Saccharomyces cerevisiae S288C: one gene and its partner. Changing the gene in region 1 together with any one later gene gives a genetic interaction. Each region holds a gene or a part of one and is shown on either strand. Other genes may lie near its edges.

Region 1 (17,623 bases):
TGGCTTCTTTGTTTTGCTGTCAGAGGCTGGTAAACTTTCAGTACTGGTAGTTGCATCTCCATCTTTCGTGTCCTTTTTGGCAACACCAAACCCAGTTCCAAATTTAGATGCGGCACCAAACACGAATTTATCCTCCTTTTTGTCATCTTCCACAATACCAGATTCTACGGTCTTTCCGTCGTCAACCTTGATCTTCTTATGCGATGGTTCTTGGTCTTTTTTACCTTCCTCCTTTTTCTCCTCATCATTTTTATTGGGTGCTTCTGATTTGTCACTCGTTTCTTCCGCTTGTTCATCCTGATCTTTTTCCCTCGGTCTCTTAGGAGTTCCATCTAGTTTATCGATAGGATTTTCAACTGCAGTTTGTTTCACCTCAGAATTTTCCCTGGCTGCATTGCCACCATTGGTCTCACTCATGCTCTCAAAGTTTATGCGTACTTGTTTTGTGCAAATTGATTTGTTGACATTTTGGTTTGAGTAGCAACTGAGCTTTTTAAAATCCAGGCATTTATATCTTCAACCTCGCCAAACAATGTCAATTTTTTTAAAAAAAAACTCAATACCTACATCACCGCGAAATGCCTGAAGTAAAAGCATATAACAAACGCGACCCTTAAAATTACGTATATATATGTATATTTCTTTATACTAAGTTTTACTGGGCAGAGTATCATACAGTTCTTCTATCCGATATATAATGAACGATAGGTGTGACACCACTGACTTGAGTAATTCTTTCCAGCCACGCAAGCAAGACACCCCCTTGTTTCTGGCCCTGAGGTACGGACATTCCTTTGTAGAGATACTTTACCAGCACGTCCCTCTGAGAATCACTCAAATTTTTGATTACATTACCAATATCGGCTTGCCTGACTTGTGTCAATGCTTCAAGGACGCTCTTAAAATATTGCTCCTTTGTTGGAGCATCTGCACTGTATGGAGGATCGGTTGTGAGTAATTGAACGGCTCCCAAAGAGTCACCACTTGTGGCAAGCGAGCGCAATTGATTCATTCGAGGTTGTAATTCTTGTAATGTGACAGTAGTTTCGTATGGTGGTACCAGATCGGCAGCGGTTAGTCTGCCACTCTCTGGATCAAATGCATCGATGTCAATTCTCCTCCAATCGGCTTCCATTGCTTGATCGTTCGCGTGTGTTGTGTTGAGTCTTCTCTGGTCTCCTTTGCTATAGTATCTTGTGTTAAATGCGGGCTGTTTTTCTCTTATTTTGTTATAGGGGCAAAGTCTGAGAAAGGGAAAAAAGTATCCAAATTAACTGATGTGCGGGTAATCATAGACAACAAGTAGCAGAGTTTAAGTATTACTTATATTCAATAGTCGGGCGCTTCTTTGGGAGCTGGTTGAGACTCTCGAGTCCGTGAGTTTCTAGATTTATATACAGAAGTAACAGCAGCAGTAGGAGTGGCGGCGGAGAGCAATGGCCTGTTTCCACGGTACCTCGCGTCCAATGTGGAACTGCCGTATCTATCAGCGCTATATGCGGAGGAAGAAGTTTCCCTGCGTGGCAGCCTGGGAGCATAATTTCTTTCGGCGGGATTTGATGTACTTGCGCTTGCAAACCTTCCTGGAAGCCTGCTGTCTCTGTTGGAATAGCCTCTGCCTCCTAGGCCGCCGCCCAATCTTCTTGGCTTGAAATATTTAACGGTTCTGCCTCTTTCTATGTCGACTATGCAGATTCTGTCTTTGATTTGGATACCTCTGTGTACTCCAATCTCCTTGAATGCCATTTTACTACTTATTGGGTCTTTGAAAACTATGAAGGCGTAGCCTTTACTCTTCTGGGTTATCTTGTCCTTGACTATCCTAATTTTTTCGATCTCGCCAAACTTAACAAAATACTTTTGCAGTTCAATTTCGTCAAGATCGTATGGTAGCCTCCCAATAAATATCGTTCTGTAGGGATCTGTGTCCTTGATATGAGGGTCAACGTTAGGATTCCAATTTTGTAGTCTCCGGTCTAACAATTGAGCATTTTTGATCTTGGAAAGTTTGATGTCTTCGTATCTTTGGAGATGGTTGTTTGGAGATCCTTCAGGAAACTCCTCCATATAGTGCTTCAAAGAGGTTGATAGTAAGTTTGCAACGCCAGTGATATTTGGATTTGTTTGTCTCTTCGCATATGGGTAATCGGTTGGTCTTTTGTAAGATAAAGGTGGCCTTGGCTTGAAAAGTCTCGACACGTCGTCTGGATACTTGGATAGATTATAATTCATCAAGGTTGAGGTGCCGATTACTTTTTTAAGGTTTCCTTTCGACAGTCGATGACCGTGCTGTGTGTCATTATCTTGCAGTTCTTTTTTTCTTCAGATGCGTTAATTTCCTACGAAGGGCGCATACAATGGTGCTGATGGGATTTATGAGCAAAACAAGTAGGCGAGCAAGACATGAACGAAATTGTAATGAAGCGTACTTCCTTTTCCCTACAACCTTAAAAAGGTCTCACTGATATATCCATTCGCAATAATGACAAGATTTTTGCATGGGACTTCTTTTTTTCTTTTGAATAAGTCGCGTTATAAGGACAAAACATTAAAAAAAAATATGTATTGATTCACTGATTTATATATACAGAAGTAAGTACCGGGGTACCTAAATATACGCATAAAAGTCTCTTTCTTTTTTTTTTTTTTTTTTTTAGCTTCCTACATTTCGTTAATAATATTATATAGATTATATTTATATTTAAGAAAAGTAATATCAGCATATTATGAATAGACAAAAAAGTCTAAGGTCAAGATTTATTAAATGTTAGATTATTAAGATTACAATTAACAACATTTGTTGTTACTTCATAAAATTTCGTTACTTCATAAAAGAACTACAGTCCCCCACTTCTAAATGAGTGGTTGTAGGGGTTCATATACCTCCCATACTGTTGGAATAAAAATCAACTATCATCTACTAACTAGTATTTACGTTACTAGTATATTATCATATACGGTGTTAGAAGATGACGCAAATGATGAGAAATAGTCATCTAAATTAGTGGAAGCTGAAACGCAAGGATTGATAATGTAATAGGATCAATGAATATTAACATATAAAATGATGATAATAATATTTATAGAATTGTGTAGAATTGCAGATTCCCTTTTATGGATTCCTAAATCCTCGAGGAGAACTTCTAGTACATTCTACATACCTAATATTATTGCCTTATTAAAAATGGAATCCCAACAATTATCTCAAAATTCACCAACTCTTCACATACATACCTGCGGTAGCAAGATAGGTACACTTTTTCTACGTTTCACGAAGGTAGCGATAGGTACCTCACTCATTGTAGGTGCGGGGGTAGCGATGGAGGTTTCTGTACCATTACCACCACAGCCACTATACTCACGTAGTGAAGTCCCTAGCGTGGAATTGTGTGGTATCGTTGCTATCTGTCGTTCGCCACCCTCGGTATATCCAACGTGCAGGCCAATATCACTCTCTAAGAAAATCGTATCAGGATTGGTACGGACAAACTCTTCATAGCCTACGTCGAAATCAAATTCTGCTAAAGCTGTGACTGTAGTTAAACCTAAAACCGCGATTATTGCTTGAAAAACTGTGGAGAAATTCATGATGGACGGTCACGTTCAGGGTCTGAGAAAACCACTCATTCCTATGTCCCATGTGGTTGGTTGCAATTTGCTGCTATATATACGACTTGGCTGTAGAGAGATCTACGTAGGATGTGTCCACTATCAAGGGGGGTTTACCAACGTTATCTTCTATTTTAAGTGCTCAAATGAAGGTTGCATTATATCCCTGGCAGTTTTCCCGGCAATTTTGCCGGCCGCTTATAATAGTCATGGTGAAAGGATTGTTGCTTGTTGTGGTTGCAACATGACAGTTGCCTACTAACTAAATAATAATCAAAGTCAGTTTCTCAACAATGGAAAACCTGTTGTGACCTTATCGAAGTAACAACATCGTATAATAATTAATCTGGAAAAAATACCATAGTTACTGCCGATACAGGTCTACGTGACTTACTGACAAACAGACTGAGTGACTACGAGTCCAGAAATTTAGTATACCATATTGTCGCTTCTTCTTATAGCCCAGCTCCAGGTCTGGATACGGTTCTGTATAACTCGTTAAGGTTTAAGTGTCCGGCAATTTTTTTGAAGTTTCATTTCTTCACTCGATGACCAAGCCGTGTGCCATCTTTTCGTTTTCTTTTTTTTCAATGTGTTTAATTATCTACAAAGAGGGCACACACAATAGAGCTGATGAGAACCCATGAGCGAAACAAGTAGAAAAGCAAGACGTAAACGGAATCATGGTGGTGTGTACATTTCTCTTTTTTTATTACACCAAGAAAGCTTAATTGGTACGTATTGTTCGTGATAGTAGCATGAATCTAGCGTGGAATTCTTTTATTTAAGGTCGCGTTGTGACGACAAAACATTAAAAAAACCACATGTGTTGATTTGTAGACTTGTATACACTCCAGTAAGAAGGTGCACACCAAAATACATGCGCATATAAATTATTTTATATAGCATGCTATATTTCGTAAATTCATAAAATTTCGTTAATTCATAAAAACAGCTCCCCAAACTTAGATGAGTGGCTGCAAGGGTTCTGTCTTGTAATCAACATCTACCATTGCGCCATCGTGTTTACATACAACTTCGACAGACACCTTGAATTTCTTGGCGTTCAACTCCGTTTCTTCGCCATAATTCCAAACAATCCGGTCAAAGGATTCCTGCTTTTTCTTATCGTGGAATTTCAATTCTGGCTTGTTGATAGCGGTTTTGATGTCCTTTAGCAGGTGCTTCTCAACATGCTGGTGTAAATGGCGAACAAACTTCTTAGAGTGCGAATTGGCAGTCTCTTTGATCTTTTCCGGATCATCATGCGCATCATGCAGGACAAAGGGTGGATAGTACTTCAGTTGGCAATGGACATGGTCGAACTCTTGATCTTCCGTCTCACCCTTTAAATATGTTTCAAAATCATGCAAATCCTCAAAAACCTTTAAGGACTCACCACTTTTTGTAGTGATGGTGGACATCTTAGGACCCTTTGCTTTCTTATCCTTTTTCGTCATTCTTATTATTTAAAATACTTTGTTATATACTGTACGTTGTTTCGTTTGCACTTAATCGTGTTTCGACAGATAGGTGAATCAAGATCTACCTTTACGCGAAAGATACGAAGAATTGAGAAGGAGGTGCAAGGGAAAAGGGCAATAGAGGATTGGGACAGCCGATGCTTATATACGGACGATTGCCAACCGCCGAAAAGGTTCAAGCCAAGAACAAAAAGTAGAGAGAATACCCCAACAATAGCATTTGATGGCTAAACGGCAGTGCCCGTTAATACTATTCAAATTATACCCCGCATTAATAATTCCTGTCCCTTTAGTCTCGTCCTTCAGCCGTATAGCCGCAAAACTTCGTTCAATGATTTCATGCCATCATTACACCGCGAGTCGTGGGTGCATTGTAGTTTATTACGAAAAGTATCTACAATACTTGCTTAAATAACCTACATTGTTTTAGGCACTATGGCCGAGTGGTTAAGGCGACAGACTTGAAATCTGTTGGGCTCTGCCCGCGCTGGTTCAAATCCTGCTGGTGTCGTTATTTTTTTATTTTTATTTTTTTTTTATCGCTTACTGATTATCAGATATCTTCGACAGCCTCACACAGATTGGTGATCACGCACCCATAATCATTTCTTCGGGCATGCTCCTATTAGCCACGGTTCGCAGAATAATCTGCGCGATGTTATTCACCAAGACCGTGGAGTCTCCTTTTCGGTGGGATCCGCTTATATCCGTATGCGTCGGTTGCTTTCTCGGGGAAAGGAAAAGGAGAAAGCCCGGATAACACGACACAAGAGTCATTCGTTATGCACGGACACAGGGAATCGTGCGGAGCCGGGGATAAGAGGCCGTGCTAATTTCCGCGGAACATCGGAATGCAGTGGACAAGTGCCCTGAGAACAAGCGGCGGGCGGGTAGCTGCCACGGAATAGGCGCCACGTTTCCGTGGGTGACTATGACTTTTGATCGATTCCATGTTGTTTTGCCCTGAATTCTGCGCCCCTCGGAGAAGTTTCTTTTCTTTTTTATCTCTTTTTCATCTCTGACCTTCGTTTCCTTTCATATAGACTACGCAGCAGAATCATGGCAGGAGCTATTAGCTGAGTGGGCAGATTACGTTTGCGCACTGTGCATTGTGACAGATTATATTTGCTTCGCTTCTCCCTCTTACTTCTTCAGCATAAGTGTAAGCCATATGTTCCCTGAAATCTTTCTACCGTCGTCTTCTCTTTTTTTTTTTTTTACTATAAATCAATGTGCTCTCTTCCATGATTCTTGCCTTTTGGATCTTCGGTACTTGTGTGGGTGAGAATGGTGTTATTGAGTCAATTCAGGTCAGCTTGGTTCAGTTCTAATCTAGCCCTTTCCCTACTATACAAATACTACTAGCCTTTTTTTTTCTCTCTCTTTCTCTATACCACTACCTCTTCCTCTTCCTTTTTTTTCTCTTCTTTTTCTATTGTCCCCATCGCATCTTAGCATAAACGCATCCGCATTCCCTTCCTACATTTTTCTTTTCTACTAGTTATAGCTTTAAAACCTTCTTTATTCTCTTTCTACCTATTCTTCTTCGTTGCTTATATCCTATACACATATGAACGGTCCTCCAACATTCACTCAATATAGAATAAATAAGTTTTCTGGGAATGGAGCAACTCATAAGATTAGAGAATTACTCAATTTTAATGATGAAAAGAAATGGAAACAGTTTTCGAGCAGAAGGCTGGAGCTGATAGACAAATTCCAACTAAGTCAATATAAGGCAAGCGAACAAGATCAAAACATAAAGCAGATTGCTACAATATTAAGAACGGAGTTTGGATACCCTGTAAGCTGCTCTAAGGAATTCGAAAAGTTAGTCACTGCTGCTGTGCAATCAGTGAGAAGGAATAGAAAACGATCAAAAAAACGCTACGCTCTCAGCATAGCCAATGGCAGTGGCGGCAATGTCAACAACAGCATCTCGTCAAATTCTACTTCTGACGACGAGATCTCTCCGTCGATCTACCAGCGCTCCAATTCGGACTTCCTGCCTAGTTCTAATTATGCTGCAGATTTCCAGTTTTCAAACAAGTTCCAGCCTCTCATGAGTCACCAGAGTCATAACGGAACCATTTTTCCAACCGTGGGCACCCAAAATGACTCATCTCCATCGGTTACTTCGACCCAACAAAAGTATAACGATATAGTCACCATGCTAGTGCACGATCTTGTTACGAATGTCGTACCCCTATCAGAACAAGCTCTCAAGGACCCATATACTGGGCCAAACCTGTCACATTTTGCTACGTCTTCACTCAGCCAGCAACCTAACATTACCACAAACATCCCGATAGATTCTACCGTGCCATTTTTCCTGAGGGAAAAGTTACTCCTACAAATCCAAAGATCAAGAACTTGTCAGGACATTTCGCAGGCTGCAGGATCCATTGATATATACGCAAATCTGGAGATTTTGGGTGAAATGTCAATCCGAATGTCTATTGCATTCGTTATCGAACGATTTTTCTCCAACTTGGTCTCTTCTTCAATGAAGTATATCACTGCCAAGACGTGCTCTCCTGAAAATCTGGCTTTGTTGTCTCAAAGACTGTTCGGTGCCGCTACAAGACATAACTTATCTCATTTCCCCGCGGCTCAGGTACAACTAAGGCTACTGTATTTGGTCATAGGTGGTATTGTCAAGGATTTTGGCTTCGACCCCACGCTTTACCCTTTAAGTGAAATCATACATCATATTGTGATGGTTCAGTATCCTTTGGCTAGTTCCTGTGCGTCAGAACCACCATCATCTTCACCTAACAAGAGGGTTAAGAGAAGCCCTCCTGTCGTTTCAAGTGACGTTATGTTGAATAATAATAACACTCTATCGAATAGAGCTACACTTTTAACTACGCTACCAATGAAGCCTCAATCGGCCAATAAAGATGTTAATCGCAGAGTGATCATTAGATTTAATGATCGCGAGCAAGCCTTTACTTTCCACCAGTTGAGCAATGGACCACCCACGGTGTCTGAAGTTTTGGAAAACTGTAAAAATTTATTTAATATTATCAACAAGAACAAGAATTTTGGTATTTTCCATAACGATAACCTCTTGAACGATGAAAGTTTGGCAAAGTTATTTGATTCCTTTTCCACGAGCGAGATTCATCTCGTAATTAAGGACATTTCCACCATTCCACTACAAGATGCAAAAATACCAGTGCCCATTACGTTGCCCAAAATGTCATGCATAGGTGAAAACCCCTCTATGCCTTCTATTCCATTGGTACCACAAGAAAAAGATGATCCAAAAAAATCAAGCTTAACTGCCTTTGATAACATCCTTAATAGGATCTCTAAATCGCCAATGAATGAAGAAAATAGCAACACTACTTTAAACACTGGCACCTCCACCTCCAACACAAATAATAATGACCACAACGAGTCTGTGCCAGCGCCATACGTTACAAAGAACAAAAATTCTTTTCAAAATGGCAATTTACCACAGCCGGTTTTCCAGCCTTTACTTTGATAAAAATACAAAACAAAATTGTCTACATACATAACTGCCTAATACACATTCTACACAATATTTTTTTCTTTTTCAATTCGCGTACATATTTATGTAAGATAAAATAATAATATCCTCTTAATCCATGCTTAGAACTGCTGCCGTTGATTTTCAAATTCATCCTCGTCAAATGGTGGCAGTTCCATTACATGAATTTTGTACCCCAGTGAATATTCCTGGTCTTGTAAGGATTCGAACGTCAAATCAGACAGCTCTTTATCGTGGAACCCAACAATGGCATTATACACAATTGTGCTAACTTTAAAGTATTTCGCCTTGCTATCACCTTCGGAGTCAGAGACGTTTCCACTTTGTGCAAAAGTAGTTGGCAAATTTCTATTAAACTCCTCTAATTCATCTTCCGGTAATTCAAACCTCAGTAGAGTTGCTTCTTCATGATCTTCATAAACCCCTACATAGAATTCCCTTGTATTATTGATAGATGTTCGAGGTCCGCCATTTGTGTATGTGCTATTATTTGCACTCCCGTTGGTGTTCTCATTTTCTGATATCTTTAGAGCGTCCATAGATTCATTGAGTAAAGATGCTTCGTTTTGTTGCTGTAGAAACTGTCTTTCCTGTAGTCTTAATAGCTTGGGGCATTTCAGTTTTATAAAATCTTTTAGAACTGTCCATCTTAGCCTTCCAAATTTTTCCAATTGTCCTTTCTCTTTAATTTCAATAACTGTGAACTTCTCTTGGTTCATTAACTCATTGAAATCAGACTCTGATAATTTCTCCAAGAATTCTATAGGTATATAGGGTGGGAAATTTATGATCTTCAGCTGCCACATACCTCTATTCGTCATTTGTTTTCTAAAGCTTTTCTCGTTAAAGATATGCTTTAATCTTTTGTGATTTATTTGAGTTTGTGAAGGTGTAATTGTTCCACCATTCTTTGCTTGGAGGGCACGGTCATCACCATTCGTACTTGTAGTGGGAATATTACCATTATTATTGGAATTTGAGGCCATGTTCAAGTTGTAAAGGGCAGATATTTCGTTATAAGAGGGATTTATCTTATTGTTCCTTAAGGAGAGGTGATGCTGCTGAGAAAGACGAGGGCCTGTGCCAGTATCTGGATTCCTGGGGCTATTATGCATGTATTTTTGAAACTGGCTTTGGTTCTGGTGATAGAAATGCCGACGACGGGGATAGTGTGTAGGGGAAGCAAGTGGACCACCAGCAGTAGCAGCAGCTGTTGGTGAAGGTAGAGTAGTTTGATAGGGCATCTGCATATTAGGTACCGTTCCCGGAGGAGCACCCAACATAGGTAGCATCGAAGTCGAAAATGGACCATGAGGCGGGGGAGCAAGAGGTGGCACACCAACAGGTACGGGAACAGGCGTGGGCAATGGCGTTATGTTCTCATTCTTTCGAAGGCTCACTTCAGGAGAAAAACTGAAAAATTGAGAAGGTGGGGTAGAAGCGGATGGTGGCTGCGGTGTCACAGATGAAACATGGCTTGCATATCGAGGAGAAATAGATCTTTTAGTTTCATCGGGAGCACTCCGGACGTCATTGTTGCTATCACTGATTTCTGGATATCGCAGTGAAGGAGAATCATTAGTGTACGGCAACAGGTAAACGAACAGATCATGATAATCCCATTGGTAGGTGTTCAAAGTAAGTAGTAAGTTTTCCAGGGACTCGTTATCTATCGAGTTCTTCAGAATGACAATGCAACTCTGAAAAGTAATAAAAGGAGGAACCATGGAAGTCATTGGAGGCAGCATTTTCACCTGTAAAATATTGGTATGGTATATGATTCCGCCTATCAAATATTTTACCTGGGCCCAAGTCTTGCCCGGAGGGAGATTATCAATCCTTATGGGAATACCATTTGACTGCGAGTACGTCTTTTTCCTAGGAGCAGCTTTTGTGCTTGCTGTTGAGCTTTCGGTCGCAGAACGGGCAACAAAGGCACTGGCTGAAGCAGCCGACTTGGCACTATAGTGTGGTTCTAGAGTCATTATAAAGCAAGCGTATTGTAAGGAGAGACAGCAAACTCTCGTGTATCAGCCAACTGAACTGGAGGCCAAGACCAATCTAAAAAAAAAAAAAAATGAAAGAAACAAGTGTGGGAGGAAGTCTTGTTAACTTAACAGTTAAGCAAGCGTAAAAACCTTTAGGAAAGCGCACGAAAGAAGGCCAACATTACGACTATGGAATAATACAATGCACACAAACAAAAGGTAACATTTGAAAAATGGAGTAGAGAATATATTCCATTCCCCTAATTTTTTGCGGGTCTTCCAGGGCTGCGAACCCATCGCTCAAAACAAGCGCAGTGTCAATTAAGACATCATTGAACTAAAACGGAAAATTTGCTTGCGCCACACACCCTGGTCAATCGTACCAAGGGATATCACTCTGTACGGGTGGGAGGAAGGCGCGGCAATTAGAATGTGTGGGTGCGGAAGCTCGCCGCTCCCATCAAGAGAGTGGAAGACGTATGGTCTGGGTGCGAAGTACCACCACGTTTCTTTTTCATCTCTTAAGTGGGATTCTTACGAAACACGTCACAGGGTCAAAAGAAAGAGAACAAAAGCAATATTGTAATTGTCTCAGTCCACGGCAATGACATGGCATGGCCCCGAAGGCTTTTTTTGTCTGTCTTCCTTGGGTCTTACCCCGCCACGCGTTAATAGTGAGACAAGCAGGAAATCCGTATCATTTTCTCGCATACACGAACCCGCGTGCGCCTGGTAAATTGCAGGATTCTCATTGTCCGGTTTTCTTTATGGGAATAATCATCATCACCATTATCACTGTTACTCTTGCGATCATCATCATTAACATAATTTTTTTAACGCTGTTTGATGATGGTATGTGCTTTTATTGTTCCTTACTCACCTTTTCCTTTGTGTCTTTTAATTTTGACCATTTTGACCATTTTGACCTTTGATGATGTGTGAGTTCCTCTTTTCTTTTTTTCTTTTCTTTTTTCCTTTTTTTTTCTTTTCTTACTCTGTTAATCACTTTCTTTCCTTTTTGTTCATATTGTCGTCTTGTTCATTTTCGTTCAATTGATAATGTATATAAATCTTTCGTAAGTATCTCTTGATTGCCATTTTTTTCTTTCCAAGTTTCCTTGTTATGAAACGTTTCAATGTTTTAAAATATATCAGAACAACAAAAGCAAATATACAAACCATCGCAATGCCTTTGACCACAAAACCTTTATCTTTGAAAATCAACGCCGCTCTATTCGATGTTGACGGTACCATCATCATCTCTCAACCAGCCATTGCTGCTTTCTGGAGAGATTTCGGTAAAGACAAGCCTTACTTCGATGCCGAACACGTTATTCACATCTCTCACGGTTGGAGAACTTACGATGCCATTGCCAAGTTCGCTCCAGACTTTGCTGATGAAGAATACGTTAACAAGCTAGAAGGTGAAATCCCAGAAAAGTACGGTGAACACTCCATCGAAGTTCCAGGTGCTGTCAAGTTGTGTAATGCTTTGAACGCCTTGCCAAAGGAAAAATGGGCTGTCGCCACCTCTGGTACCCGTGACATGGCCAAGAAATGGTTCGACATTTTGAAGATCAAGAGACCAGAATACTTCATCACCGCCAATGATGTCAAGCAAGGTAAGCCTCACCCAGAACCATACTTAAAGGGTAGAAACGGTTTGGGTTTCCCAATTAATGAACAAGACCCATCCAAATCTAAGGTTGTTGTCTTTGAAGACGCACCAGCTGGTATTGCTGCTGGTAAGGCTGCTGGCTGTAAAATCGTTGGTATTGCTACCACTTTCGATTTGGACTTCTTGAAGGAAAAGGGTTGTGACATCATTGTCAAGAACCACGAATCTATCAGAGTCGGTGAATACAACGCTGAAACCGATGAAGTCGAATTGATCTTTGATGACTACTTATACGCTAAGGATGACTTGTTGAAATGGTAATTTTCTTTTATTTTTTTGATAAAACTACTACGCTAAAAATAAAATAAAAATGTATGATTTCCCTCCATTTCCGACCAATTGTATAATTTTATATCTGCATGACTTAATAATATAATATAATACTTATAAAATACGAATAGAAAAATTTAAACCGATGTAATGCATCCTTTTCTTTGTCGTCTTCGGATGATCTGCCGTGACAGGTGGTTCGCGCAAATCAAGCTGGTTTAGAGAATTTAACACAGAAATAAAAAAGGAAGATTCAATCTTCGTTTTTGTTTTATATCTTACTATAAAAGTGTTTTTTTTTAGTACGACGAGAAGTTAGAGTAATTATAAAAGGAATGCTTATTTAAATTTATTTCTTAGACTTCTTTTCAGACTTCTTAGCAGCCTCAGTTTGTTCCTTAACGACCTTCTTAACAATCTTTTGTTCTTCAATCAAGAAAGCTCTGACGATTCTTTCCTTGACACAGTTGGCACATCTGGAACCACCGTAAGCTCTGGAAACAGTCTTGTGGGTCTTGGAGACAGTAGCGTATTGTCTTGGTCTCAAAGTGGAAATACCTTGTAGAGCACTACCACAGTCACCACACTTTGGTCTAGTAGCCAACTTCTTAACGTGTTGGGCACGCAAGATACCACCTGGGGTCTTAACAACCTTGATTTTGTTAGAACGGGTGTTGTCTGTACGTAGTAAAGAGAAAATTTTCCCATTAATGTTAGTAATCACTTCTTTATTATCCTATGATTTAAGAACTTGAGTGGGATTGCTCCATATGAAAAGTATTTCGGCGTTGCTGAATGAATATTATCTCATTTCAATCTTTCAACAGCGGAGAAAAATTCATTTTCCATTTGGGTCGACCAAGGTCTTCCACTTAGAAACTGAAGTCAACTTATTGCTGTCCACATTACTGGATACTGTTCGTTCATGCTGTCTAATGTTTTAATGTCATGCCAATATATTTGAAAGTTCTTGCATAGTTGATTCCCCTATCGATGATCTGGTTCTTCCTATTTCTAAGTGGTACGCTTCTCTAAATAGCACTCGTTCGCCTTTTAACCTCATTTTCCCACAATGAAAGTTCAAAATAAGTTCATAATAAGTTCATAATAAGTTTTCATGAAAACTCAAAAAAATAGTTCAGTAACATACATGGATTTCTTCTTCTGAAAGTAACACGTTGAGCCATTTTTAGGGTTGTTCGTTGCTAATCTATTCTCAGTTTCAATCAAAGTAAATTGAATCAAAAGAATATAACAAGTGCCAAATACTATGTACTACCCGTTATTTACTACTTACAACTAATAAGTTCATCAACTTTTACGTAGAATGCTATTGAAACATTCCAAACTTACCCACCAGCTGCGATGAAACGGCTCCTGAGAGCCCGTTACCATACCGTCTGAACGGGTGCTGGGGCCACTGACAGGAAGAGGAAGAGTTAGAATTGTTACTGGCTCCTCCCCCAGGCGTCAATTCCATCTCCTCCCAGAAGGACGGTCTCTCTGCCCAAAGGAATGAACTTTCATGGGAAGGGACAAATGAAGCGGACTATTGTCGGAAGCGGGACCTCCGAAAGCAAATGAAAGTAAAAATTCAAAAATTCAAAAAAAAAAAAGCTGAAAGGAAAACACCCAAACAACACACGGTATGTGACGACATCTGTACACCGCAAAGTTGTGACGAAAACACAGTCACAGTTTTTTAGAATTTATGATTAGAGTGTTCAAGAAAATAAGTTCCAACACGTAATAGGTTTCTACCCCTGTCTTGTAACATTGATACAAGTAGAGGGAAACTCCCCTCACATTTTCTACAACGGCAAGAAACTGATTCTGAAACTCCGTAAATTCGTTTCTTTTCTTAGTTAAAATCTTATATACGCTAAAGAATGCTACTAAAATGTTTATAAATGTACACTCCTCGGTATCGCAAGTGGAAAAAAGGCAGTAAAGAAGTTTCAATCCTTCAATTCTTTTCAACAGCGATAACTTCCATTTCTAAATCAACATTCAAAGGTAAGGAAGCAACACCAACACAGGATCTTGCAGGCTTATGGGTGTGGAAGTGTTTGGCGTATACAGAGTTGAATTCGGCAAAGTTTTTCATGTCAGCCAAGAATACGTTGACTTTGACTATATTGTCTAAAGAAGAATTACTTTCTGCTAAGATATTCTTAACGTTTTGAAAAACTTGTTCGGCCTTCTCAGAGATAGAACCTTGAACAGGCTTGTTATCTGGAGTATAAGGGATTTGACCAGACACGTACACAAAATTGTTGGCCTTCATAGCTTGGGAGTAAGAGGCGGCAGCGGGTGGGGCCAACTTGGTGCTGACCGGGGTCAATGTTGTTATACCCCTCCTCAAGACTGGAGCTGTTCTCAAAACGGAATTTCTTAAAAACATTATTGGTAATATATTTGTGTGTATGTGTTGTCCTTTTTACCTGTAAATCTCACACAATTTACTAGCTAACCTAATTCTTATGCATGTGTAAGACCCATTTAGTCATATGTATTTATATATATCAGGGGATCCATACGGTGTGTTTTTCGCTGGATGAGCGACAGAGGCGGAATCGCATCTCCGCAAATGAGAGCGTACACAGGAGCAAAGTGAATAACGTCCTTCAATGATAGAGACTTATCCAATAAGCAGCACTGGTCTTCTAAGATCACCGCCTGTGCACTTTTCTACGGGCTCTTTTAATTGTATAACATGGACAGTGATCATTGCATTTTGCATCCATAGGCATACTATGGCTTAAGGTATTACTATCTATCGCGCCTAATCTCTGGGAGTTTTGAGGCCGGTTTCGGAATCTCGGTATCTTGCGATGGGTCCAAAACGGTGTAAACAAAGCAGGGGATAGCAGCGCAGGCTTCAACATCTCAAACCTTTATATATACAAAAAGTATATCTATATATTCATCTACGGTTCTTAAAATAGTACAACAAAAGTTAACAGACATTAATTACTGTAATCAGACTAAAGCAAACCGAGCTAGAACGAACGACTGCTTACACTAGAGAAAAATATGGAGCTAAGTTCACCATCAAAAAAAACCACAACATCGCCAATAAATATACCAGGGGGGAATAGAGATAACCTAATAATCGGACCACATTCTCACAGCTTCAAGACCGATCCATTTTCAAGTAACAATAGTAGTTTGCTGTCCAAAATATCTACTAACCCCAGTTTGGAAAGCCCTTTCTCTTCGAAATCTTTACTAGATTGTTCTCCTGTACAAGCTGTAAAGAAGTCTTTAGAGTCGGAAGCAAAAACGCATAGCCTGGACGAGGAGACAAATGAACAGACTGATGTAAAGATCTTAAACATAGCAGACTTTCCCACAGATGAACTCATACTAATGATAAGTGCGCTACTCAACAGAATTATAACAGCAAACGATGAAACTACAGATGTCTCACAACAAGTGTCGGATGAGACCGAAGACGAACTCTTAACTCCAATCCTTGCTTTCTATGGAAAGAATGTTCCAGAGATAGCTGTTGTTCAGTACTTAGAGAGAATTCAAAAGTACTGTCCCACCACAAATGATATTTTTCTTTCTCTCCTTGTATATTTCGATAGAATCTCCAAAAATTATGGGCATTCTTCTGAGCGTAATGGTTGCGCAAAGCAATTATTCGTCATGGACTCCGGGAACATTCATAGATTGCTCATAACAGGTGTCACAATTTGCACGAAGTTCTTGAGTGATTTTTTTTACAGTAACTCTCGATACGCCAAGGTTGGAGGTATTTCTTTGCAAGAGTTAAACCATTTAGAATTACAATTCCTGATACTATGTGATTTCAAGTTATTGGTTTCAGTCGAAGAAATGCAGAAATATGCAAACTTGTTATATAAATTCTGGAACGACCAGTAGAATGCTGTCCTGCATATTATTCATGCCCTTCCCTTACCGTTACTCGTATTATACATATCAATTTCTGATTTACGTAACGCGTACATATCGGTTATATTTAAATAATTTAATATTCCTTTTAAATCAGTGGTTTTTCATATTAGTAGCATTTCTCCTGAAATGATAGCTATTGCAATAGAATGAAAAAAAAAACTTTTTGCCCAAATAAATCATAATCTACCGGTAAAGAGAAATTCGGTCCTTGTTCTATTCAGTATTATGCTTTCTCTTTTTTTTCCAAAATGAGAATTAAGGACGTTTCGAAAAAGTAAAAATATACCAAATGTGGAATATAAATAGGTTTATCGGCGGACCGATCTGGCTTAAAACGTAGAATCTACCAGTCCAATGTACTTTGATGAAGAACAATTGCTAAAATATACTATATATGCCTATAGATTATCCTTTTTTGTAGGCATTTGCTCACTTTTCATAGCAAAAAGTTGTCTACCAGAATTTCTTCAATATGGTAAAACCTACCGGCCCAAAGAGAATTCAAAGTACTCAAGCATTTTAGAACGAATCAAGAAGTTCACAGTTCCAAAGGCGTATTTTTCCCATTTTTACTATTTGGCTACCTTTCTATCCTTAGTCACCTTATATTTCTATCCTAAATTCCCCATCGTTTGGATCATATTTGGACACTCATTGCGCCGACTTTATGAAACGCTTTATGTACTACATTATACAAGCAATTCTAGGATGAATTGGTCCCATTATCTAGTCGGTATATGGTTCTATTCCGTACTCTTGTTAATTCTTAATATATCACTGTACAAGAACTCCATTCCAAATACGTTAAACATGAATGCTTTCATCATATTCTGCATAGCATCTTGGGATCAGTACAAAAATCATGTTATTCTGGCCAATCTGGTTAAATATTCGCTGCCAACAGGAAGGCTTTTCAGGTTGGTATGCTGTCCTCATTATCTCGATGAAATAATCATTTATTCTACTCTGTTGCCCTATGAACAAGAATTTTACCTAACACTAGTTTGGGTAATCACAAGTTTGACTATATCCGCATTGGAAACAAAAAATTATTACAGGCACAAATTTAAAGACAATCACGTAGCCCCCTACGCCATAATACCTTTTATAATCTAGTAATGTGCACACTAGGGCATTCATATACATA
Region 2 (16,573 bases), on another chromosome or scaffold:
GAAACCGTAGACCATTTTCAGAAACTCGTAACATAACTTCAGGATATATCAAAGTAAAAAGCAGCTCCTATTAATTCAAATTATTAGCTCAATCCTATAGCAACGTTTCTCAAGTTTAATTGTTTTGAAGGTTTTAGAACCTTTTTCACATTATTTAGTCCGTCGAAACATCTACTCTTTACTATTTATGGCTAAACAGGCTGAAGGGTATGATTTCTTTTCTTTTCTTTATTCATGTCGGGTAAGAGAAGGTCACTTGACCTATGATGTGGGGGCAAATAATAACGTGGGAATAACAAGCGCGCTACTGGTAAGTGAAAAACTAAGATAACAGTTGAATTTCGTGTTTAGATGCTATAGAGAGTCTGGTACAGCATTGGCGATTTAAGACTTCTCTAGTCCACATTTCTTAAATTCAAAATCACAAGCGCCTGTTAACGATCATTTTATAATCTACGATGTGTAAATGCAAAAAGTGCTTTCCTCCCTCTTTAGTTTGGACAGGGATAGTGGGTAAACGAGTAGCATTATGAGTGCATACATTGCCAGAAAGAAACCGCAAAGCGGCATATCTTTTTTCTTCTTTCTGTTGTAAGGGATGCTTCGTCACGTAAAATGGCCGCCGGAGTGAGATGTCACAGATTACATCAAAAGGTCGGCGTATACTGGATAAGAAAATCCGAACTTTTCCGGTGGGCTTTACCAGCAGAAAAGTGGCCGGGCATGTATTAAATATATCACCGTATTTTCTGCTGGCTTTTTCTTATGCAGAGAACAAAGGCCAGAGTGCCTTCGAGGAAATTAAAGGGAGCAATGTGATAGATATGTCCTGTGTCATTTGCTTCAATTTTTCCTGCCATTTATTTGTAGTTATATTTATATCTAGATCAACCGAAACTATACCAACGACGAAGCTGCTTCTTAGTAAATATATTTTCTACTGTGTCAACGCATTGGAACTGACATTGTTCTTATCCTATAAGTCATACAGTTGAATTTGTTAATTCTTTACTAGAAGTTGGGATTTTCAGCACTTATGTCACCGTGTTATGGACAAAACAGTGCCATCGCCAAGGGGTCTTGGAACAGAGAGGTTTTACAAGAGGTGCAACCGATTTATCATTGGCACGATTTCGGGCAAAACATGAAAGAATATTCGGCATCACCCTTAGAGGGGGATTCCAGCCTGCCTTCCAGCCTGCCTTCCAGCACTGAGGACTGTTTACTACTATCATTAGAAAACACAATCACAGTTATAGCCGGAAATCAGAGACAGGCTTATGACTCTACGTCGTCTACTGAGGAAGGTACAGCACCTCAATTACGGCCGGATGAAATAGCGGACAGTACACACTGTATCACGTCATTAGTTGATCCGGAGTTCAGAGATCTTATTAATTATGGACGTCAAAAAGGAGCAAATCCTGTATTTATTGAGAGCAATACAACAGAACAATCCCATTCACAGTGTATTCTAGGCTATCCCCAAAAATCGCACGTGGCACAGCTATATCACGACCCCAAAGTACTCAGCACAATTTCCGAAGGGCAAACAAAAAGAGGAAGTTACCACTGTTCTCATTGTTCTGAAAAGTTCGCAACGTTAGTTGAGTTTGCCGCGCACTTAGACGAATTCAACCTTGAAAGACCGTGTAAGTGTCCCATAGAGCAATGTCCCTGGAAAATATTGGGTTTCCAACAAGCAACTGGTCTGAGAAGACATTGTGCTTCCCAACATATAGGAGAGCTTGATATAGAGATGGAGAAATCATTAAATCTAAAAGTAGAAAAATATCCAGGACTGAATTGCCCATTTCCTATCTGTCAGAAAACGTTTAGGCGCAAAGACGCCTATAAGAGACATGTGGCCATGGTGCATAACAACGCTGATTCAAGATTTAACAAGCGTTTGAAGAAAATTTTGAACAATACCAAATAGTTGAGGCATTAAAAATGTACCCCATGAAACTCTTGTTAAATTTGTGCAGGCATGAAAGCTACTGTATTTTTTCTTAAAGTAATAAAAATAAAACACAATGATATTAAAGAAAACGCATGCAACTATGGACACTTGCTATGTCGTGAATATGGCACCACGTTGGTTACTTAGCTAAATAAAAAATCGTAAGTACTCGCATTTTTTCTTCTATATTCACTTTGCTTCTTTGGACAGTTATTTCAATAATAAATATTTCTTTTTTTCTAATCTCCCTTATCACCTAAGAGGAAAAAGTTTGAAAATAAACTTATGGCTAGAGGTTATTTGGTATTCCGAGAAAACATTTGAAACTAGGAAGTTTACATATCAGTGCAATTATGTTTCCTTCGATGATTCACGTACCCTCAAAGTCAGTACCATAAAATTGAAAATAAGACAGGTGTTTTTTTTTTTTTTTTTAATCATACAAGAATTCAACCACTTAAGTAGGATATTAGCGCTTCTTGTGCCGAAAGTCTCGTAATTTCCAATTTATATGTTTTTTAGTTGCATCGCCCTGGTTCCACAAACCGTATTTACGAACCCTCTAGGTAATAGTATCTTTGGCAGTTCTTTTCCAGCTAAGATTTTTATGTTCTCACCGTTGGCGGTTATTTTTCTAAATACCCTCAATGAAAAACTCACATCGCACGCACATTTCCTGAAAATATCTTTGAGAAATATAGCAATCCTCGAGAACAATTGCAGGACAGGAAAAATATTAAGAAACAATAATCGCTAGATCAATCATTTTATGGAAAAAGATCTGTACAGCCAAGAAGAAGAAAAAAAAGAAGAAAAATGGCATTACTCTTTTGTAATTTTCTTGATGAATAATATGGGGGGACAATATAATAAATGCACACTATCTGGTTGAATAGACCAAAAAAGATAGCTTTCTTTTTCTACTTTTTTTCTTTTTTATATTAATTTTTTTCTTTTTTCACATTTTCAAGGTCAGCATTGTATTAAATCTATTCATGCCAGAAAGCCATTATTCATTATTTTTCAAATAGGGGTAGCGGCTTTTTCATCAACTCGATTATTACCCTTTAGAGACCTTCCCTAAAGTGAGCGGCAATTATTTCCGGATGTTAGTAGGGTAATATGGTTACGGATTTGTGACACAAAAGGGCTTTTCAACAGTCGGTCTGGGTTGAAGGATTTTCAGGATGACGAAGCTTTCAATAAGAGGGACTGGACTGTTAACGCGGGGAATTATAGGTTACTTTCCTTGATCTGGCTCTGGCTCTGGCTCTGATTTTGGCTCTTGTACTCCTCGGACTTCTTGACTTGTAACGAAATACGTCTTTTGTCCTTCTCTTCTTCTTCCATAGTAGGGGCGAATGAGGGGAGCATAGTGGATCCTTCTAACCATCTAGAATGGGGTGGACAACATATAAAAGAAGAGCAATCTTGCAGCGCAGTCATATTTATGCTAAGTATATCATTATTTCTTGCTAGCGTAAGTCATAAAAAATAGGAAATAATCACATATATACAAGAAATTAAATATGTCAGAACCTTCAGAGAAAAAACAAAAAGTTGCTACCTCATCTTTAGAACAATTAAAAAAGGCCGGGACCCATGTGGTTGCTGATTCGGGTGATTTTGAGGCTATTTCGAAGTATGAACCACAGGATTCAACAACTAACCCTTCTCTGATATTGGCTGCTTCAAAGTTGGAGAAATATGCGAGGTTTATCGACGCTGCCGTTGAATATGGTAGAAAGCATGGCAAAACTGATCATGAGAAAATCGAGAACGCCATGGATAAGATTTTGGTGGAATTCGGCACCCAGATTTTGAAGGTAGTCCCAGGAAGGGTTTCCACTGAAGTAGACGCAAGGTTATCTTTTGATAAGAAGGCGACGGTGAAGAAGGCTCTCCACATCATCAAACTATATAAAGATGCGGGAGTACCTAAAGAAAGAGTCTTGATCAAGATAGCTTCTACGTGGGAGGGTATCCAAGCTGCTAGAGAATTGGAAGTAAAGCATGGTATTCATTGTAATATGACATTACTGTTTTCCTTTACGCAAGCAGTAGCCTGTGCGGAGGCAAATGTCACATTGATCTCCCCATTTGTTGGAAGGATTATGGACTTTTACAAGGCCCTTTCAGGCAAAGACTATACTGCAGAAACTGATCCCGGTGTTCTTTCTGTTAAGAAGATATACAGTTACTATAAGAGGCATGGTTATGCAACTGAGGTAATGGCGGCTTCTTTCAGGAATTTAGATGAATTGAAGGCGTTAGCCGGTATTGATAATATGACTCTCCCACTGAACCTTCTAGAACAGTTATATGAATCAACAGATCCTATTGAAAACAAATTGAATTCTGAGAGTGCTAAGGAAGAAGGCGTCGAAAAAGTCTCTTTTATCAACGACGAGCCTCATTTCAGATATGTTTTAAACGAAGATCAAATGGCTACAGAAAAACTATCAGATGGTATCAGAAAATTCTCCGCAGACATTGAAGCACTGTACAAACTGGTTGAAGAAAAAATGTGATCATTAAGAGTAGAGGTACCTACTTATATATATAAATATATATATACCACTTTCCTTTTCGGTACTTAGTATTGAATTTGTTTGAGTATATGTGCATAGCATAGTGTACAGACTTATATATTCATTAAAATTCTGACGTATAATCAAATTCCGAGGGGTTCGTGAACAATTCTTCGTATCCCGCCCACTCTCCTTTTACCACTTTTGGATAGGTTCGCCATATCTTTCTTTCTGTCGGAACCGTCTCTGACTTTAGCTTCTTCGGTAATCGTGGCGTAATTACCTTGCGCAATATTATCATTATTCAACGCAACTTTTCCGGCTGTCTGCACTTTAGTGCTTGTGTTTGTTTCGTGTAGTTGTGGTGTCACTTCCTGAATCTTTTGGCTCCTTATGCTCGGTCTATTTGATTCATTTACCACATTAGTACTTAATATCCTCTTGGGCTTCTTGAAAGGCTTATTGACCTTCAGAGTAAGTTTGCTGATGTTGAATCCTCCCTTGGTGGCATTGTCCTCTGTCTGCTTGCGATTGGGAGTTGTGACTTTTATGTTCGAATGAACTTCTCTCGCAGTTGAGATATGATTCAAACTTGGTGCATTGTCTGAGATAAGAGGGCGTTGTTTTTGCACCGACAAATTTGAAGGATATGCCCTAACATGCGTTGCTGCCACTTGAATATCTCTATCGTACTCCTCAATAATATTTGAAATAATCACCAAAAACTGACTAAAAATCCTATGTTCTTCAATATCAAAACCTTCTGGATTTAGAATTGCTTTCAGCTCTTTTGAATTTATTTTAAATTCACTAGCTAACAAAACGTTATCCTTTTCCGTATAAAGCATGAATCTGTTGTTTAACTGAAAGTATTTCAGTCTACCATCGTGCCAGATTTTACGTTTCTTGTAAAGCTGATCAGTGTATTGGCATTCATACTCAACGATATGAGAGAGCATACTCTGTCATGCGATCCTTGGGGATTTCTTCTTTCTGGTGTTCGTGAAATGGGCTAGCTTTGGCGTGCAGTTCAAATTGAGATTTCACATCGCGAGAAGCTCTCAAACCGACTTTTTTCCCTAAATAGAGACCAATTATAAGAGCAAATAACATGCATATAAGATTGAGGTAAAGAGATATTATCGCTATTCCAACGAATATGAGCTCTTGGTGTTGAGATTTTTCCCTTGGTAGTTTCAGGAGGCTACCATATATTATTACATTGTTTTCTGAAATCTATAACATGGGTGTCTAATTATATAGAGAGTAGCAGGAAATCTTCGACGAGTAAGTCCAGCATGGAGTTACTCTCTTATTATTCCCACACCAAATCCTATTCCTATGCTAGCAAAGATAGCTAACATCTCTATACATCCTAATACAAAGCACAATGTCCTGAACCATTGTACGTCAATGTCCCATTCAAACCCTTTGAGGAGGCCGATTCTATGTTCATAATTCATTATCATTCTCATTAATCTATAATTTGAAACGCCATTATTTCCATTGATTGAAAAGAAAAAGAATAAGGGCGGAACAAAAAGGCAGATGCACAGTGTAGTTATAACCCTTGGAATACTATAAATCTCGGAGAAGCCATATATTCGGGAATCAAATGAACGTATGGAGGAGGAATCTATTCTTTGAATGGGCATTGTTTCCATTTGAAAACTTAATTGCTGATCTCGATCAATTTCTTGAGGAATTTTTTTATATTGATGTTGCTTAATACTATTGTCACCTTTTCCGACCCCAGAAGCTAAACCAGCTTCTATATTACTTTCGTATTCCTTTTCGTGTAGTTGGTTTGGACTACGCATGGTGTCCATTGCGATACCAAGAGGGACTTGAGGATTAGGAATTTTCTCTAAATCAATTTCGTTGGTATTCTTCTGCCTTTGATCTTGCATTCGAGTTCCAGAGGTTTCATTAGTTGGATTATACTGCCCATTAGAATGCACTGTATTTTTTAAAACAGCGGAAGAACTTCGCTGGTCATTAGCAAGGTCAGCTGCTTCAAAAGGCTTTAATATGTCAATTAATAGGGAATGGTTTCTTGGGGTTTTGAGGCTAGTGGACTTATTCGCTGGTATTCTGTTCCAGGCCTTTTTAGGAATTTGAAATTCATGTGGGATAAACGCTTTATCGGGAAAAGTACCATTTAGCGTGCTGTTAGGAACTCTGCTTTTTGCTACATCAACAGCCCCTTCCACAGGAGAAACAAGATCTACACCATACCGCATAGAAGGAAATGAGTATGTACCTTGTGTTTGCCTTGTAGACTTATTTCCGGAGACGGTAGCCCTTGGTCCCTGGTACGGCGCAGTTCCTTCGGGTGGTGGATAGAATAAAGAAGAAGGTCTGGTTCCCAGTTTCTCGAAGGATTTCATTGAAGATGATTCCATATGATCTCCTCTGGTCGTCCCAGCGTGCTTTTCTGCCGAACCCATATTCAACAGCACCGAAGTAGAGATGGTACCGCTGCTGCTGTGTCCATTTAGGTTAGTTTCAGCGGAAGACCCGTTTGAGGAATTTCTGTTCCTCTCATTTGAATTTGGCGGAGGTAAAGGGAATGCTGCTACTTCTGGATCTCGTCGTACTAAATCTAAAATTGAATCCTCTAGATCTCTATGTGATTCCTGATGGAAATTGTCATCTCTAGCATCTTCAAAGACTTGTTTACCATCAGTACTACTTGAATTTGTATCTCCTTTGAGGATTTCACTATACTTGCTATCATCAATATAAACATTGTATGACTTCACTTCTGATGATGGAAATGAATCAGATCCTTCGATGAACAGCGAACCAGATCTTATTCTTGCTCGCGGTTGATGGAATATTGGGTGGTCGTTCTCAGGTAAAGATGCGGATGAAGCCGTTGCCGATCCAGATGTGGATTTTGAATTTTCTGTCGTTATCGAAACATCTCTGGTTATTTTCGTCATTTCATAGGATGAAGAATGAAATTGTTGTAAAAAAAAAGGTAGTGAACGTATAAAGTTGGATGCTGTCTTCGAAAAAAAAAATAAGGTGTTAAATGAGTGGATGGTTTGGTATGCCTAAGCAAAAAGCTTTAGAAATCAAATTGAAAAATAAAATCGAGGGGAAGCTGGAGATAAAAGTAAGGCAAATGTCAGATAAATAGTTGCAAGGTGAGAGTGTACTATAATCTTTAGTAGTTGTTGTATGGTGATCCTTCGTCACCGTTAAGAAATGGAGGACAATTAAATGGAATACTCTGGGACGTTACAAGGAATAATAGTATGCTAGAATGAAAAAAATAATGGAGTCCTTCTACGTGTCAATGTACGTATGTGGCAATTAAGATAAAACTTTATAACTATACCTTAACTATTCTTGCATATATAATAATGCGAGATAAAAAATCACCAACTTTCTCCCTTTTAGAGAAATTAGCTTTTAGACTACCTTGGCTGGGTATTAGTTGTGAATATTTGGTAAATATGGTCAACTAGAAAACGAATGCGAACATCTAGCCAGGAATAAACAAACCCAGTAAACAAAACTTCTACTTAATACTTAAGAATAGAAAGCACAATGCCAAGACTTACTTGGGAGCCCATTCACTGTTGAATAGTGCTGGATAAAAGGTGTTGATATCGCCTCTTTGATTACAGTCGCGTCAGCTCTCCAAGCACACGCGATGGCTGGTTTTTCTCTGCATTTCCCGTTTAGGCAAAGCAGTGAAGAGGCTCATGAAGCCGCATTTCGTGTACTTCTGCTGGCGAAAAAAAAAAACTTGTTGCCGTGGCGCCATTTCGTTCCTTGCATTTTTCCATTGGCATGCATCGTGCATATGTGAGTTGAAGTTTCTTACTTACATATTGACCTACAGACCACAACGTGTCACTGCTAAGCTGAATATAGGGAAATTTTAGAAGTATGGCAGAAATGTTCTTGTGAATACTATTCCATGGTCTTCATTAGTTCATCGTAAAGCATGTCTTTGAGCATTTCTATGGGCACTTCTTCCTCCTCTTCCGGACGCATTATCTTGTTATCCAGTTTCCAAAATTCATCATCCAAATTAAGTGGAGGATATTCCGGCTCATCACTTGGGTCATGGTACATTGCCAGGTAAGGGTGTCTTAAAGCTTCTGCTGCGCTTATTCTTTTGTCAGGATTGAATTGAAGCATTTTGTCTAGTAAATCTATCATATCTGGATTCAGATCGGTCTTTGACCAGACGGTCTCCCATGGCAAGGGTGGCCTCATAGGTAAGTTTGCTATATACTCTTTAGCCCTCTTGGATTTGATCTGATTAAAGTCTTCGAAAGATGGAGTTCCCAAGACTTCTAGAATTAGCCATAATTGATGATGATAGTCTCTGCCTGGGAACAAAGGCTTCCCGGAGACCATTTCAGCCAAAATGCATCCGCATGACCATATATCCATCGCAGTTGTGTACTCTTGAAAAGTTAGCATTATCTCGGGTGCCCTGTACCATCGCGTTGCGACGTACTCCGTCATGAATCCTACCAATGTTTCTCTTGAATCGCTACTGCTAGCTAAACACCTCGCTAGTCCAAAATCGCAGACTTTGAGATCACAATTGGAATTTAGTAACAGGTTTGATGGCTTTATGTCTCTATGGATAACTTGTGCACTGTGAATAGACTTTAAGGCTCTGAGGATTTGGTATGTAAAGTATTGAACATGGTCATCACTTAAAGTGGAAAACCCGCTATTCTGATTATTAATTACTTTTTGTAAATCGGTTTCCATCAACTCTTCGACTAAATAAACAGCGTTTAGTTTGTCTATGGATACTGGCCTTACTTTATCCAATATACTTATTATGTTTTCGTGTTCATGGAAATACCGTAAAAGCTTGATCTCACGTATAGTTCTTGTAACAAACAATTTTTTGCTAAACGGTTGTATTTTCTTGATAGCTACCTTTATGCCGGAAGGCTTATGAATTGCTGAACATACTGTTCCGTACGCTCCCTCACCTATTAAATCTACGAGTTTATATTGGGAAGGGATATCAAAAGTTATGGTTCTAGCCATCTTTGAATTGTTGAAAGAAAAGTGAAGAAAAGATACTTTTTTGTTGAAATAACCTTTTCTATCTTTAAAAGATGCTTTCTTTAAATTGCCAAATTTTTAGTCGGCTTTTGATCTGATCCAGTGGAAAAGAGGAAAAGAAAAAAAAATACGAAAACAGTTCGGGAAATTTAACGACTGCAAAGCACAATATGTAACTGTTCAAGTCTGGCTTCTGGTCAGATAAAGTGCAATATCTACAGATTGGAAGTACTTTGGGTGTCTTAATAAAAATACATTATATATAGAAATATGCCTCGATCTGTAAATTTCTAACAGCTTCACAGCGCGTTTTGAATGTGAAAAAATCAGGAATGTGGAGGAAAGATGTTCAAAAAGTTCGAATTTGAAGAGCATACTGCTCAAACGGTTGAGGAATTCAAGGTAATCTGAGGCTTCATACATAATAAGTAGCCAATCTTTCTTTCCCCCAAGTAAGTAGCTCAGTATTACTAAGCCGGTAAAAAATAACATCTTTCATTTCTTTCACCAAGGGGAAATAGTAATATACTCATATTTTGGCTGGACTCTCGTAATCTGTCAAATTTTTTTCGTGCCGATTTCTAACTTAAATTTAGTAAATAATGTTAGTATTTACTTTTCAATTGTAGATCTACCTAGTTTCAAGATTATGTAGAAAAGAATGACAAAACATAAATACTGTTGGAATAAAAATCAACTATCATCTACTAACTAGTATTTACGTTACTAGTATATTATCATATACGGTGTTAGAAGATGACGCAAATGATGAAAAATAGTCATCTAAATTAGTGGAAGCTGAAACGCAAGGATTGATAATGTAATAGGATCAATGAATATTAACATATAAAATGATGATAATAATATTTATAGAATTGTGTAGAATTGCAGATTCCCTTTTATGGATTCCTAAATCCTCGAGGAGAACTTCTAGTATATCTACATACCTAATATTATCGCCTTATAAAAAATGGAATCCCAACAATTACATCAAAATCCACATTCTCTTCATGGTAGCGCCTATGCTTCGGTTACTTCTAAGGAAGTCCCATAAAATCAAGATCCGTTAGCCGTTTCAGCTTCCAATTTACCGGAATTTGATAGAGATTCCACTAAGGTTAATTCTCAACAAGAGACAACACCTGGGACATCAGCTGTTCCAGAGAACCATCATCATGTCTCTCCTCAACCTGCTTCAGTACCACCTCCACAGAATGGACAGTACCAACAGCACGGCATGATGACCCCAAACAAAGCTATGGCCTCTAACTGGGCACATTACCAACAACCATCTATGATGACGTGTTCACATTATCAAACGTCACCTGCGTATTATCAACCGGACCCACACTATCCGTTGCCACAGTATATCCCACCACTGAGTACTTCCTCACCTGATCCAATCGATTTAAAAAATCAACACTCTGAAATACCTCAAGCTAAGACAAAGGTGGGAAATAACGTCTTACCACCACACACTTTAACATCAGAAGAAAACTTTTCTACATGGGTTAAATTTTACATCAGATTTTTGAAGAACTCTAATCTCGGTGACATCATTCCAAATGACCAGGGTGAAATCAAAAGACAAATGACTTATGAAGAACATGCGTATATATACAATACCTTCCAAGCATTTGCCCCATTTCATTTATTGCCAACATGGGTAAAACAAATTTTAGAAATTAATTATGCTGACATCCTTACAGTCCTTTGTAAAAGTGTGTCCAAAATGCAAACTAACAATCAAGAATTAAAGGATTGGATAGCTCTTGCCAACCTTGAGTACGACGGAAGTACATCTGCTGATACATTTGAAATTACAGTCAGTACGATCATTCAGAGGCTAAAAGAAAACAATATCAATGTTAGCGACAGATTGGCCTGTCAACTAATACTTAAAGGTCTATCCGGTGACTTCAAATACCTACGTAATCAATATCGTACCAAAACGAACATGAAACTTTCCCAATTATTCGCTGAAATTCAATTAATATATGACGAAAATAAAATCATGAATCTAAATAAACCGTCCCAATACAAACAACACAGCGAATACAAAAATGTTTCTCGCACATCTCCAAACACGACTAACACAAAGGTTACAACTCGTAATTATCATAGAACAAATAGTTCAAAACCAAGAGCAGCAAAAGCTCACAATATTGCTACATCTAGTAAATTCTCAAGGGTGAACAATGATCACATTAATGAATCAACCGTTTCATCACAATACTTAAGCGATGACGACGAACTTAGTCTTAGGCCAGCAACAGAAAGAATCTAAGCCAACACACACAATAGACTCGAATGACGAACTACCTGATCACCTTCTTATTGATTCAGGAGCTTCGCAAACGCTTGTCAGATCAGCCCATTATTTACACCATGCAACACCCAATTCTGAAATAAACATAGTCGATGCTCAAAAACAAGACATTCCTATAAATGCCATTGGTAATCTTCACTTCAACTTTCAGAACGGCACCAAAACATCAATAAAAGCACTACACACACCAAACATAGCCTATGATCTATTAAGTTTGAGTGAGCTGGCTAATCAAAATATTACTGCCTGCTTTACCAGAAACACTTTAGAAAGATCGGATGGTACAGTACTAGCTCCCATAGTCAAACATGGAGACTTTTACTGGTTATCTAAAAAATACCTAATTCCTTCGCACATTTCAAAGCTAACAATAAACAACGTCAACAAAAGCAAAAGCGTAAATAAATATCCATATCCGTTAATACATCGAATGCTTGGACATGCTAACTTCCGAAGTATTCAGAAGTCTCTTAAGAAGAATGCAGTTACATATTTGAAGGAATCGGATATTGAATGGTCTAACGCTAGCACATATCAATGTCCTGACTGTCTAATCGGCAAAAGCACGAAACATAGACATGTCAAAGGATCACGACTAAAGTACCAAGAATCATATGAGCCTTTTCAGTACTTGCACACCGATATATTTGGTCCTGTACATCACTTACCGAAAAGTGCACCTTCTTACTTTATATCGTTTACAGATGAGAAAACCAGATTCCAATGGGTGTACCCATTACACGACCGTCGTGAAGAATCTATCCTCAATGTTTTTACATCGATATTAGCATTTATTAAGAACCAATTCAATGCTCGCGTTCTAGTTATCCAGATGGATCGTGGCTCCGAGTACACTAACAAAACTCTTCATAAGTTCTTTACGAACAGAGGTATTACTGCATGCTATACAACCACGGCAGATTCTAGAGCACACGGTGTCGCTGAACGATTAAATCGTACTTTATTAAACGATTGTCGCACACTGCTTCATTGCAGTGGTCTACCAAATCATCTATGGTTCTCAGCAGTCGAATTTTCTACTATAATCAGAAATTCATTAGTCTCACCAAAAAAACGATAAATCTGCAAGACAACATGCAGGTTTAGCTGGACTGGACATTACTACTATACTACCTTTCGGTCAACCGGTTATAGTTAACAACCATAATCCCGACTCGAAAATACATCCTCGTGGCATTCCAGGTTACGCCTTACATCCGTCACGAAACTCTTATGGCTATATTATCTATCTTCCATCATTAAAAAAGACAGTAGATACTACCAATTACGTTATATTACAAAACAAGCAAACGAAATTGGACCAGTTCGACTACGATACACTCACTTTTGATGATGATCTCAATCGTTTAACAGCCCATAACCAATCTTTTATTGAACAAAATGAAACAGAGCAGTCATATGATCAAAATACAGAATCTGATCATGACTATCAATCGGAGATTGAAATAAACTCTGATCCTCTAGTGAACGACTTCTCGTCCCAATCAATAAACCCTTTACAATTAGACAAGGAACCAGTCCAAAAAGTACGTGCACCAAAAGAAGTTGATGCCGACATATCTGAATACAATATTCTTCCATCTACTATACGATCTCGTACACCCCATATCATTAATAAAGAGAGTACCGAAATGGGTGGTACCGTTGAATCAGATACTACTTCACCTAGACACTCGTCTACCTTCACTGCACGAAACCAAAACCGACCTGGTAGTACCAATGAGATGATTGATTTGACCTCACAGGATAGAGTTAATTATGGACTTGAAAACATCAAAACTACACGTTTGGGTGGTACGGAGGAACCATATATTCAACGAAATAGTGATACAAATATCAAATACAGGACTACAAATAGTACGCCCTCAATAGATGACCGTTCGTCCAACAGTGAATCCACTACTCCCATCATCTCCATAGAAACAAAGGCTGTATGTGATAATACACCCTCCATTGATACGGATCCGCCAGAATATCGATCTTCTGACCATGCGACTCCTAATATAATGCCTGACAAATCCTCAAAAAATGTTACGGCTGATTCTATTCTTGACGACCTCCCACTTCCTGACTTAACCCATAAATCTCCTACGGACACTTCTGATGTTTCAAAAGATATTCCACACATACACTCTCGTCAGACTAATTCCAGTTTGGGTGGTATGGATGATTCTAATGTTCTGACTACTACCAAAAGTAAGAAAAGATCATTAGAAGATAATGAAACTGAAATTGAGGTATCCCGAGACACATGGAATAATAAGAATATGAGAAGTCTGGAACCACCAAGATCGAAGAAACGCATAAATTTAATTGCAGCAATAAAAGGAGTGAAATCGATCAAACCAGTTCGAACGACCTTAAGATATGATGAAGCAATTACATATAATAAAGACAACAAAGAAAAAGACAGATATGTTGAAGCTTATCATAAAGAAATTAGCCAACTATTGAAAATGAACACTTGGGATACAAACAAATATTATGATAGAAATGACATAGATCCTAAAAAAGTAATAAACTCAATGTTTATATTTAACAAGAAACGTGATGGTACACACAAAGCTAGATTTGTTGCAAGAGGCGACATTCAACACCCCGATACATATGATTCTGATATGCAATCCAATACCGTACATCACTATGCACTGATGACGTCACTGTCAATCGCATTAGACAACGACTATTATATCACACAGCTGGACATATCCTCTGCTTACTTATATGCTGATATCAAAGAAGAATTATACATAAGACCTCCACCACATTTAGGTTTGAATGATAAATTACTACGTTTGAGAAAATCACTCTATGGTTTGAAACAAAGTGGTGCAAACTGGTATGAAACCATTAAATCATATTTAATAAATTGTTGCGACATGCAAGAAGTTCGCGGATGGTCATGCGTATTTAAGAATAGTCAAGTAACAATTTGCTTATTCGTTGATGATATGATATTATTCAGCAAAGACTTAAATGCAAATAAGAAAATCATAACAACACTCAAGAAACAATACGATACAAAGATAATAAATCTGGGTGAAAGTGATAACGAAATTCAGTACGACATACTTGGATTAGAGATCAAATATCAAAGAAGCAAGTACATGAAATTAGGTATGGAAAAATCCTTGACAGAAAAATTACCCAAACTAAACGTACCTTTGAACCCAAAAGGAAAGAAACTTAGAGCTCCAGGTCAACCAGGTCATTATATAGACCAGGATGAACTAGAAATAGATGAAGATGAATACAAAGAGAAAGTACATGAAATGCAAAAGTTGATTGGTCTAGCTTCATATGTTGGATATAAATTTAGATTTGACTTACTATACTACATCAACACACTTGCTCAACATATACTATTCCCCTCTAGGCAAGTTTTAGACATGACATATGAGTTAATACAATTCATGTGGGACACTAGAGATAAACAATTAATATGGCACAAAAACAAACCTACCAAGCCAGATAATAAACTAGTCGCAATAAGCGATGCTTCATATGGTAACCAACCATATTACAAGTCACAAATTGGTAACATTTTCCTACTCAACGGAAAAGTGATTGGAGGAAAGTCGACAAAGGCTTCGTTAACATGCACTTCAACTACAGAAGCAGAAATACACGCAGTCAGTGAAGCTATTCCGCTATTGAATAACCTCAGTCACCTTGTGCAAGAACTTAACAAGAAACCAATTATTAAAGGCTTACTTACTGATAGTAGATCAACGATCAGTATAATTAAGTCTACAAATGAAGAGAAATTTAGAAACAGATTTTTTGGCACAAAGGCAATGAGACTTAGAGATGAAGTATCAGGTAATAATTTATACGTATACTACATCGAGACCAAGAAGAACATTGCTGATGTGATGACAAAACCTCTTCCGATAAAAACATTTAAACTATTAACTAACAAATGGATTCATTAGATCTATTACATTATGGGTGGTATGTTGGAATAAAAATCAACTATCATCTACTAACTAGTATTTACGTTACTAGTATATTATCATATACGGTGTTAGAAGATGACGCAAATGATGAGAAATAGTCATCTAAATTAGTGGAAGCTGAAACGCAAGGATTGATAATGTAATAGGATCAATGAATATTAACATATAAAATGATGATAATAATATTTATAGAATTGTGTAGAATTGCAGATTCCCTTTTATGGATTCCTAAATCCTCGAGGAGAACTTCTAGTATATCTACATACCTAATATTATAGCCTTAATCACAATGGAATCCCAACAATTACATCAAAATCCACATTCTCTTCAAATACAAGGACTGCAATTATACAATATTAATATAAATCTACATATAGTTATTTTTTTATTTCCTTTCGTAATATGAATCAGTATTTATATTTAGCCCCTCCTCAGTCTTTTGTTTCCAAAAAACGTGAAGCAGAAGCTCTTGTTGTGACTATTCGAAAAGTATCGCTATAGTAATCACCAGAAACTACAAAGTTCACTTATGAAGTCTATATTATAATAAATCATGAATGACAAACTGAAGAGTATATCGGCCCACGAATTTCATCAAAATCTATCCATTTTTAGTTTTATAGATCTCTCTTATACTGTATATGAAGATCTGTTATTCTCGTGATCAATATTAACTATTAATTAACAGCAGGTAGGTACTTGAAAAGAAAAAAGG

The links.
Region 2: mutations in VHR1 (region 1) and NQM1, at least one of them in a single copy, are lethal or impair growth when combined (synthetic haploinsufficiency), as found in Saccharomyces cerevisiae (one study listed by BioGRID).

The regions. Positions count from the first base shown.
Region 1 is NC_001141.2:243,328-260,950, forward strand, and holds VHR1 (Vhr1p), read left to right. Parts: upstream 1-6,663; coding exon 6,664-8,586; downstream 8,587-17,623. Other genes in the region: YRB2 (Yrb2p), read right to left, coding at 1-417; ARC15 (Arc15p), read right to left, coding at 671-1,135; U1 snRNP complex subunit SNP1, read right to left, coding at 1,330-2,232; YIL060W (uncharacterized protein), read left to right, coding at 3,065-3,499; YIL059C (uncharacterized protein), read right to left, coding at 3,223-3,588; RGI2 (Rgi2p), read right to left, coding at 4,575-5,069; YIL055C (uncharacterized protein), read right to left, coding at 8,715-10,598; YIL054W (uncharacterized protein), read left to right, coding at 11,216-11,533; glycerol-1-phosphatase GPP1, read left to right, coding at 11,788-12,540; 60S ribosomal protein eL34 RPL34B, read right to left, coding at 12,899-13,227, 13,700-13,736; and 3 more. UniProt on the Saccharomyces cerevisiae protein: Transcription factor that binds to the VHRE consensus sequence in promoters of VHT1 and BIO5, and regulates their biotin-dependent expression.
Region 2 is NC_001139.9:568,356-584,928, reverse strand, and holds NQM1 (sedoheptulose-7-phosphate:D-glyceraldehyde-3-phosphate transaldolase NQM1), read left to right. Parts: upstream 1-3,492; coding exon 3,493-4,494; downstream 4,495-16,573. Other genes in the region: TAM41 (putative phosphatidate cytidylyltransferase), read right to left, coding at 1-34; YGR045C (uncharacterized protein), read left to right, coding at 633-995; RME1 (Rme1p), read left to right, coding at 1,037-1,939; MTE1 (Mte1p), read right to left, coding at 4,638-5,453; BUD9 (Bud9p), read right to left, coding at 5,799-7,442; mitogen-activated serine/threonine-protein kinase KSS1, read right to left, coding at 8,425-9,531; YGR039W (uncharacterized protein), read right to left, coding at 9,730-10,041. UniProt on the Saccharomyces cerevisiae protein: Transaldolase is important for the balance of metabolites in the pentose-phosphate pathway.